Linked DNA regions of Arabidopsis thaliana. The protein of the gene in region 1 interacts with the protein of each later gene in a pairwise test. Each region holds a gene or a part of one and is shown on either strand. Other genes may lie near its edges.

Region 1 (5,319 bases):
TATTTGATTTTAAATGTATAGTAGACTGTGAGTTGTATATGTTTTGTTGATATTATCTATATTGTTTAGTGTTTAAGATTATACACTTGTAGTTTGATTATTAATTTAAGAGTTTCACATGTAGTATACCATCTTGTATTAATATCGATATAAACCCGTCAATTCTAGGATTTTCCAGCTTGTATTAAAAATTGAATCACATCTAATATGTTATTAACTATTGTAGTATATAAGATTATAAATTTTCAATATAATATGTATGAAATTGAATATAAATATTTCAAATTTATGTCTCGTTACTCAGTAGAAAGTTTTCTTAAATATATTTTTCACCCGTTATAATATTATTTCATGTATTGAACAGTTTATATTCGTTTTTAAAAATTTAAATTATGGCATATGCGAAAAAACTCTAATTATTTTTTTATAATGATGATATTATTTTTCCGTAAAAATAGAATCATATAAAGATGAGAAATGAACTATAATAATTAATAAAAAATTAATATGATAATTTAGATACCAAATATAGTTTGTTGATTTTAATTGGTTACTTTTTTGGAAATTAATAATGTATTTCGTTTTTCTAATTAAATTAAATTAATTAAAATTTAGATATCAAATCTTATATGTTGATTTTGATTGGCAATTATTTTTGAAAATTAATAATGTATTTCGTTTTTTAATTAATTTAATTAATTAAATTAGTATTTGACTTTTTAATCCTTATAGAGATAAATTAATTTACTCTTTAAAATTTTATTTCTAATGGCATACCTATGTAATTACTTACAAAAATTAAGGTTACATTTAAAATGTACTTCCCGTATGATAAAAATTCAAAAGATTATGAATGTCTTGTGAATGTCATTGACATATATCTTGAAGATAAACACATTCATTATACATATATCATAAGTTTTAGAATATTGAATTAATAAAAGAAAACAACTTCCATTACCATATACATATGTTATCTTAGAAAATGGTGGAAATGACAAAAGATTCCTTCTTCTTTTACGTAATTTATGCATTAACCCCGAAATTTTTAAACTCTTTCAAATCCATCCATTGATAGACGATGGATGGCACAACGTTTGTACACCAACCCCGAGGAAATCCCGAGTTTGCCCTCCTCCACCCACTTCACCTCCACCATCAACTCTTCTACGTTTCCAAGGGTAATTCTGTAATTCATCCAAGGCAGACGCAACCGTAACGTCATTTCTAGCGTTCTCGATCTCTTGATGATCATGACTACGACTCATTAACCCAATGTTGTTGTTAGACCCGAACAAAGCAAAAAACTTTTCGCCACTGTCATAACTGGTGGTTTGATCGGTGGATTTAAGCGGGAAACTTTGAAGAAACGTTGATGGGTCATTGGTCGCTGCGGTTGTTGTAGAAGTAGCGCCAATTTCAGCAGCTTTCTGTAGTAAAGCTGTCGCGGACATATTCACGTTTGAATTTGCGTTTGCGTTTTGTGGTTGGTCGCTGCTGAATAAAGAAGGGGCAGAGAGAGTAGTGGTAGTGGTCAAACTTGCGTTTGCGTTTTGCGTAATCTGCTCATCGTGAGTATTATTATTATCAATGCAAGCAGACGCTGCCTTAGCGTTTCCAAAAACCCAATCGTAGTCCGGTTGCGGTTGAGGCGGCGCGATATCTTGTCCCATCCATAGAGAGAGCGACGAAGAAGTTGGTGGCTGAAAATGTTGATGATGATGGTTTGGATTTGTTTGCGGTTGTGGTACAAATGGTTGAAGCGGTGGGATGAATGTTCCCATGAGATATTGATAGTTGAGATTAACTGATCCTGGGGCTCCAGCCGCGGCTAAACCGTTGAGATGAGACACTGCGTTTATCTTAGCGGTTTCTTCCGCTAAGGCATCGCAGAAAGCTCTATGAGTGATAAAGCTGTCTCGCCTGTTTCAACCAAAACCACCATTAGTTAACGTCTTAATCAACATTTATCTCAATGCATTTATATCAAAGTTTTAACTGATGAAAATACTTGAAAACATTTAGCTGCCTTTTCTTTATGTGCAGCAGTAAAAGTAGAGAAAAACCTAAGTACATATTTCCGTAACATAACTATTGATGTGTCAATCTTGTGTTGACACTTTTTCCGCATATTAAGTAATAAATAATGTTACCATTTTGAACCATACACACATGAAGTACTCCATTATTTGTATATATTATTATATCTAGCTTATGTTATATGTTCATCATGGTTATTATAAATTTATACCACTTTTTGCCTCAATCATGACACTAACAAAAACATTTTCCCAAGCAAGAAACTTTACCCTACTTCAAAAGAGATAAACAAACACATAGGAAATGACAAAACATACTTATAAAACTTAATCAAACTACATATTGACAAAAACGAAGATGTAGATACTATAAAGCTACTATAGAATAGCTTTCGAACATGATCAATACAAACGACAACACATATATACATGAAGCTTATTTTTAATTTAATTGACAGAGAAAGAAAAAAAAGTGTACCTTGAGAAAATGGTGCCACAATCGCAACGGTACTCTCTAGTACCACAAGTCTTGGAATGAGCTTTCCAATCAGATTGGACTGCGTATCTCTTAGCACATTTCTCGCACGTCCACTTCTTCTCCCCGTGTTTCCGGCAAAAATGCTTTTTGATTCCAGTGAGATCGCCTAGAGCTCTAGAGGAGTGATGGTGGACACATGTCTTCTCGGGGCAAACGTAGACACGTTTTCTCACTTCTTTGCTTGTCCTCTGCTTCAACTTCCATGGAAGATTATGTCCTCGCCGATGAAGCTGTAAGTTTTGGTCTCTTTGGAAACCTTTGCCACATACCTCACATAGGAACCGGTTCGTAGCCATCAAGGTCGTGGGGGATAAAGCTATCACTTCAGCTTCCGGATCTAAGTGGATCATCATTAACATTTGTGGTTTCTTTAATTAGGTCAATTCGGAAAACAACATCTATTTTTGGATCGGATCATGTACTTTAGTAAAAATAATGTGTGTGCTTTTCTTGGTGGAGGTAATAATAATAAAGGGTATGTAAATATATTTTCTCATGGAAACTATAATGCGATTTAAAAAAGAAGAACTCTATAGATCAAATAAAAGTTTTAATTTACTAAAAGGCCTAGTATTTTCACATTAATTAAGCATGAGCCAGTGATCTATAACTCATGCAGCCAAATACTACTTTTGATTTAGGTCAAGATCCAGAACAAAACAACCCAAGAAAATTAATTTATAGGGGGCAAAAAAATAGAAAAGATACTAGGGTTTTCTTTTTAGGTGATGATCAAGCTAGCTGAGATTTAATATAAATAATTACCAGGATTTCCAGGGAGATTTCTCTTTTTCTTAACAAGAGGAGGATTGATGAGAGATTCATCATGATCCAGGGTTGATGAGCTCTGTGGCTGAGCAAAACCTGATCCACTTGAGATTGTTTGAAGAACTTCACTTGTCATGTCTTCTTCTGGGTTCTTGACTTCTTGGAAGAGAAATTAAAAGTAGGTTTTTGTATAGTTCAGAGAGAGAGAGAGAGAGAAGGAGACAAAAGGTTAATATAAGAAAAAGATTAGAAATACTAAGAAATCTGCAAGTTAACTATGAACGAGAAGGAAAAAACAACAAAGACAAAGATATATTGGGTTCTCCACTTATATATGGCTTTTGTCTTAACCTATACCACTCTATATTAGCTCCTATATATAAGTGTGTGTGTGTGGGTATATTAGCACCTTGATATGTTAAACTGTTGCAGCCATTTTGATTAAAATATGTGGTTAATTGTATTTTTCTTTTCCTTTATGAGATTATTTTAAAAGAGCAAAGTGGATGGCGGTGGAAAATCATAAGCTGAAAGTGATAGCAGCAGAGCCAATAAAATTTCAAAATGCAGAGATAGAAAAAATTTAACATCCCTTGATTACTTTATAGGCACCCTATGTTTGCAGTTTCACTATGAATTATTTCAATATAATAAACAATTTTCTTTTAGTTTGATTCATTTTATTTCATGTTCATACATCCTTAGTTTTGTATAGACATGGTATTTGCTAAGAGTAATTTTAATTACATTTTTTCACAAATGATAATCATGTATTTATGCATCATACAGCATCAAATGCTTCATTTATATTAAATCTTAGAAAAATCGATTAATAGCCTTGCAAATTCGAAGCGAGCTGTTAAAAAATGTAATTAAATTACCAAGATATTCGAAGTAATTTTGTTGTAGTAGTGCGTTATGACACATAGAAAGTTGATATTTCTATCTTTTCTATTGAGAATGATTATCTCGTTATTTTTGTGTTGCCCTTTCCTCTCCATTTTTTTTTCTGGTTTTTTGGGTCCAATAATTACTTACTTTTTGTTCCTACATGCTCATGTTAACTCAGTGCAAAAAAACAATCTTACTATATTTTTTTTGTTTTTTATTTTATTTTTTACACTTCTTTCTATATGTTTTTTTGGGGATAAAATGTGAAGTTATTTACCAAAAGGAACAGTTTATTAGAAGATCTTTTCGTAGCATCAAAGGTTCATTTGCCAAAAATAAAATAAAAATAAACAAAAATCTAGATACAACAATATTAGGCACTAGAAAGGGCTTTACGCATATGTAAACAAACTACTGGGAGATCAAAATTGTGTACGCCTTGTGATTTTTTCAAGCTTGTAGAGTATATAATACGAAATGCATCGATCAATCTGCCTAAAGAATGATGAGGCTGTAGTGGAGTGTAGTTAATCTTTTTGGATTCAAGGAGTACTTTGATACAGATAGCATAAAGAAATTGTTATATGTATATATATATATATATATGTTTTTATATATCCGTAAATTTTATCTTAAATGAATTATGTTTACAAAGTATTGTAATGTATATCTAGTTACAATAAGATACATTTGCTTTGCCAACAAATAAAAACATTAATCTGATTTATCAATTGCACAATCTCTATAATGCTTATTAATTTGAAGGTATGCAGTATAAGTAACAAAACAATGTATTAAAAAAATTGATTGACATTAGTGATCAATAAGAAAATTATAACTTTATCTATCACCTTTTTCTTTGCAATAGTTGTATTCAGTTTAAATACACAGTTAACGGGATCACTATTCACTCCCATCAGATATCATATACGGACATAGTCATTTTTGTTAGTTATTCATGAATCAGAATTTTTCACAATATGTGAAAGAGGTAAAACAGATCCAACGGTTATGGTCACATCTCTTGTTTGTCGAAGTCGAACAAAGCCTGCCATGCACGTGTACCCATGCACGTGCTCTTTA
Region 2 (3,935 bases), on another chromosome or scaffold:
TAGAGCACGTAATAATTTATAAATTTTATTAATTATTTCTCAAAATAAGTCGTAATTGAGTGCCGTTTTAAAAATCTTGAGGTGAGCTTCTCTCCATCTGAATAGAAAGAAGAGAAAAGGAATAATTCTTGTCGTCATAGTTCAAACTTCAAGTGGACTCTCGACGACATTTCAATAATACACACATACTTATCTAATCCTGTCACTGAATGGAGTCTTGGTTCAAGAAAGGTGCGCACTAAATAGTAAATAAAAAACTACAAAATTATATCATTGCTCTTGGGAATGATTGGATGTTATAGGCTAATCCCAAATTAATATCTGGACATAATATATTGTCACGTCCGGTTTTTGTTAAGTGACTGATTTAAAAGTGAAACTCATAAGTGATAAAGCACAAAATTACGATTTAGCCTCTATTGTCTTTTCCAAACAAACCATTCTAAACTAGAACCATGGTTCAAGTGGTAAAAGTTTTTATTTGAATATTGTGATTTTGGGAGATATAGGCATGGGCAAAAAAACCCAATAATTTTAATAACTGACCAAACTGAACCGTATCAAAACCAAAGTTCTTAAAATAATCGAATGGTTAGTTGTTAATGAGAGAAAGTTACACTCGAAAATTAGAAAAATTATCAAGTAATATACTTATAAATGATTAGTTTCATTGCCAATTGGTTTTAAGTTAGAAACTCATCTTAAACCCAAATATGTTATTAGTAAAATAAGGGTGATTCAAACCATTTCTTCTCTAGAAAAAGCATTAGAAGAGCTAAAGATGCACTCAGTTAATAATGCTAGGATGATGCTAGGATTATTAGCATTAGAAGAGCTAAAAGGTTGTATCTTAGCCTCTTTAATAATGCTAGGATGATGTGATGGAAATATGTTGGTAGCAGAAGGTGAACTTCGAGGCATGAGTGGTTACCATGCCGTTGTCATGGTCATAATTATGTTCATTTGTACACACCTACTAGCATTACGCAAATAAATAATAGTGTCAAAATTGGTTTTTATGGTTATATCTTTGTTTGCCTATCGACTATATATCTAGTGATCGATTCCGATGAATAAAGTAGAGGATTGGTTAGGCCTACAAATAGGCTGATGCATCTATTGTCTAATTTGTGATGCTTAATGAGTGAATTATTATTATAAATAAAAATTTGAACGAAATAGTTTTCTTCACTTAGTTCAAAAACTAGAGGTAATAGTCTCTCTCTTTTTTTTTTTTTTTTTTTTTGGGTCAAATAGTCTCCCTCTTAAGTTTTATTTTCCTCTCTCATCCTCATCATCTGAGATGTATGGGTTAGTATATACATAAAAGTATGAGCATAAAAAGAGCTTTCTTCATTTACATAAAATATTCAGTGGACATAGAAAAGAGCTTTCTTTATATTTTTTAATTAAAATTTGAATTTACGACGAGATTTCAATTTGGGGTTTAGAAACAGTGTTTTTCTCAGGATCTCTACTTGTGAAGTTTTCGCTTGTGTTTTCTTAGTGTTTTCTCCTTGTGTTGTGTTGTAGTTTTTGGGGATTTATGTAGATTTCAATTTCTTTTTTTTTTGTATTTTCGGTAAGTTTTATCAACTTTTTTTGAAAATCGTATAAATACTTAAGAGTGATACTCATTTTTTTTTTGAATTCCTTTTATATGCTGAGAGCTTTTTTTTAATTTTGAATTATTATTATTTAACATCTGACATTTTAATTTTATAATCAGTAATTGCATGAATATGAGGCATTATTGTTACTGTACCATATCGCATGCGGCCCATTTTAAGCCCAAATCAAGGAATAACTTTTGAAGGACATTTAAAGTTGACCCACAAAAAATAACTTTCATCTTCAATTTCGAATCGATAACCCTAATTTCTCACAGACGAGCAAGAGAAAGAGCCAAAGCCGTTTCTTCAGGTAAATCCCGATCTCCGTTGTCACTTCTTTACTCCAGATTCATTCGTAGTTTCGATCTATAGATTTCATCTTTTTGAATTCATCGCTTTCAAAGTTTTTGAATTGAAGCCTTTTGTTGATAGGTAACTTGAGGATGTCGCGTGTGTATGTTGGTAATTTGGATCCGCGAGTTACTGAACGTGAACTCGAGGATGAGTTTCGTTCCTTTGGTGTGATCAGGAGGTACATAAATTGACTCCTTTTTGGTTTTTAGTTGATGTAAAGTGTGTGAATTTGCATTTATCCTCATTGTTCTTTTGGTGTCTGTGCAGTGTCTGGGTTGCTAGAAGACCTCCTGGTTACGCTTTTCTTGATTTTGAAGATTCAAGAGATGCCCGTGACGCCATCCGTGAAGTAGATGGTATTCGTTGGTCTTCTATTCTACTGGTCTGGTTTTATGAGTTGTTATGAGTTGTTATGAGTTTGATATATATATGATCTATATTGTTATGGTAGGCAAGAATGGATGGAGGGTAGAGCAGTCTCATAACCGTGGTGGTGGTGGAGGTCGTGGTGGTGGTCGTGGAGGAGGTGATGGTGGTCGTGGACGTGGTGGTTCTGATTTGAAGTGCTATGAGTGTGGTGAGTCTGGTCACTTTGCACGTGAATGTCGTTCTCGTGGTGGTTCTGGTGGTAGGCGTCGTAGCCGCAGCCGTAGTCGCAGTCCTCCTAGATACAGAAAGAGTCCTACCTATGGAGGACGAAGGTTATTGTCCCTATTCTTTCTGATTGACGATTTGCAACTAAAAGAAATTGGTCTACCTCATTGATTTATTACCTTGTCTTTTGGTTTCACAGAAGTTACAGCCCTCGTGCTAGATCTCCTCCTCCTCCAAGACGTCGTAGTCCTTCTCCTCGTGGTCGCAACTACAGTAGGTCACCACCACCTTATAGAGCACGTGACGAGGTGCCATATGCTAATGGGTAAAACTCCCCTTGCTCTTGAGTCTACTGTATCTCAATCAATATAAGAAATTGAAACTGAACTAGTGGCATTATCGTCCCAAAGACTTTTTTGTTAGACGTTGTGTTAAAAAACAGAGTCCATGTGGCTGATAAGTTTTTGTATTTGTTTATGCAGAAATGGTCTGAAAGATGTGCGCAGAAGCCGGAGCTGAGTGTTACTTGTCTAGATAGCAAATTATGGGATCAGGAGACAACTATTTGCTTGTGACGTCAAGAGGAGAGGAAATTAGTATCTGTGAATTTCACTAAGAGAATATGTTTTAGCTGTGTGGTGGATTGGATATGCTTGCTACTTTTGAATTGCTGGAAAGCTTCTTATTGCGTTTGGATTATGAAGCCATAGTTGTATCTGCCGTTAGGTAAAGTACTTTTAAATATCTACCCATGTTCTTAAAAGACATAAACAAAAGCTCTGCTAAAAACCTATGCATTTTCTTTGTTTTTTGTTCTATCATCTCGAGGTTTCTTCAGGTTTCTACTGCTTCATTGCTTATCTGCTTTTGGCTTCTTGGTTAATTTGGTCGGCCTGCTATGGGATCTTCATAGTAGTTTACCACAACTTCTGCTTCATTGCTTATCTGCTTCTCGCTTCTTCGTTATTTTGATCTGCCTACTTTGGGATCTTCATAATTGTTTACCACTACTTCTGCTTCATTGCTTAACTGCTTCTGGCTTCTTGGTTATTTTGATCGGCCTGCTTTGGGATCTTTATGTTAGTTCACATCTACTCTGCTTCTCATCTAGATGCTCTTATGTTTGAAAACTTCATCGGCTCTGATGATTGCTGGTCTTGCTTTTCTTGAACTTAAAATGGCCGAGGAGTTGCACTTGCTACTCTGGCAGGTATTTAATACCTTTCAGGCAGGCTTCGAAGAAACTTGTCTTACGGTGTAGAATAGTTTAGAGTATGTAGAACGTCTCTGCTTTGTTTGAGGTGGGCACTTGGATAAACACTTATCGCCATCTGCAATAGTCATTCCTTTGGTTTCATCACGTTTGGTACATGG

What was found.
Region 2: the proteins of NUC (region 1) and RSZ22a interact in a two-hybrid assay, tested with the Arabidopsis thaliana proteins (one large-scale study listed by BioGRID).

What each region holds. Positions count from the first base shown.
Region 1 is NC_003076.8:17,771,253-17,776,571, reverse strand, and holds NUC (C2H2-like zinc finger protein), read right to left. Parts: upstream 3,717-5,319; 5' UTR 3,482-3,716; coding exon 3,343-3,481; exon of another isoform or gene 2,937-3,342; coding exon of another isoform or gene 2,915-2,936; coding exon 2,518-2,914; intron 1,924-2,517; coding exon 1,059-1,923; 3' UTR 823-1,058; downstream 1-822. UniProt on the Arabidopsis thaliana protein: Transcription activator that binds to the DNA sequence 5'-CTTTTGTCC-3'. Regulates photoperiodic flowering by modulating sugar transport and metabolism. Regulates SUS1 and SUS4. Transcription factor that regulates tissue boundaries and asymmetric cell division.
Region 2 is NC_003071.7:10,447,781-10,451,715, forward strand, and holds RSZ22a (RNA recognition motif and CCHC-type zinc finger domains containing protein), read left to right. Parts: upstream 1-1,850; 5' UTR 1,851-1,923; intron 1,924-2,045; 5' UTR 2,046-2,056; coding exon 2,057-2,145; intron 2,146-2,234; coding exon 2,235-2,323; intron 2,324-2,418; coding exon 2,419-2,668; intron 2,669-2,760; coding exon 2,761-2,886; intron 2,887-3,043; coding exon 3,044-3,080; 3' UTR 3,081-3,404; downstream 3,405-3,935. UniProt on the Arabidopsis thaliana protein: Probably involved in intron recognition and spliceosome assembly.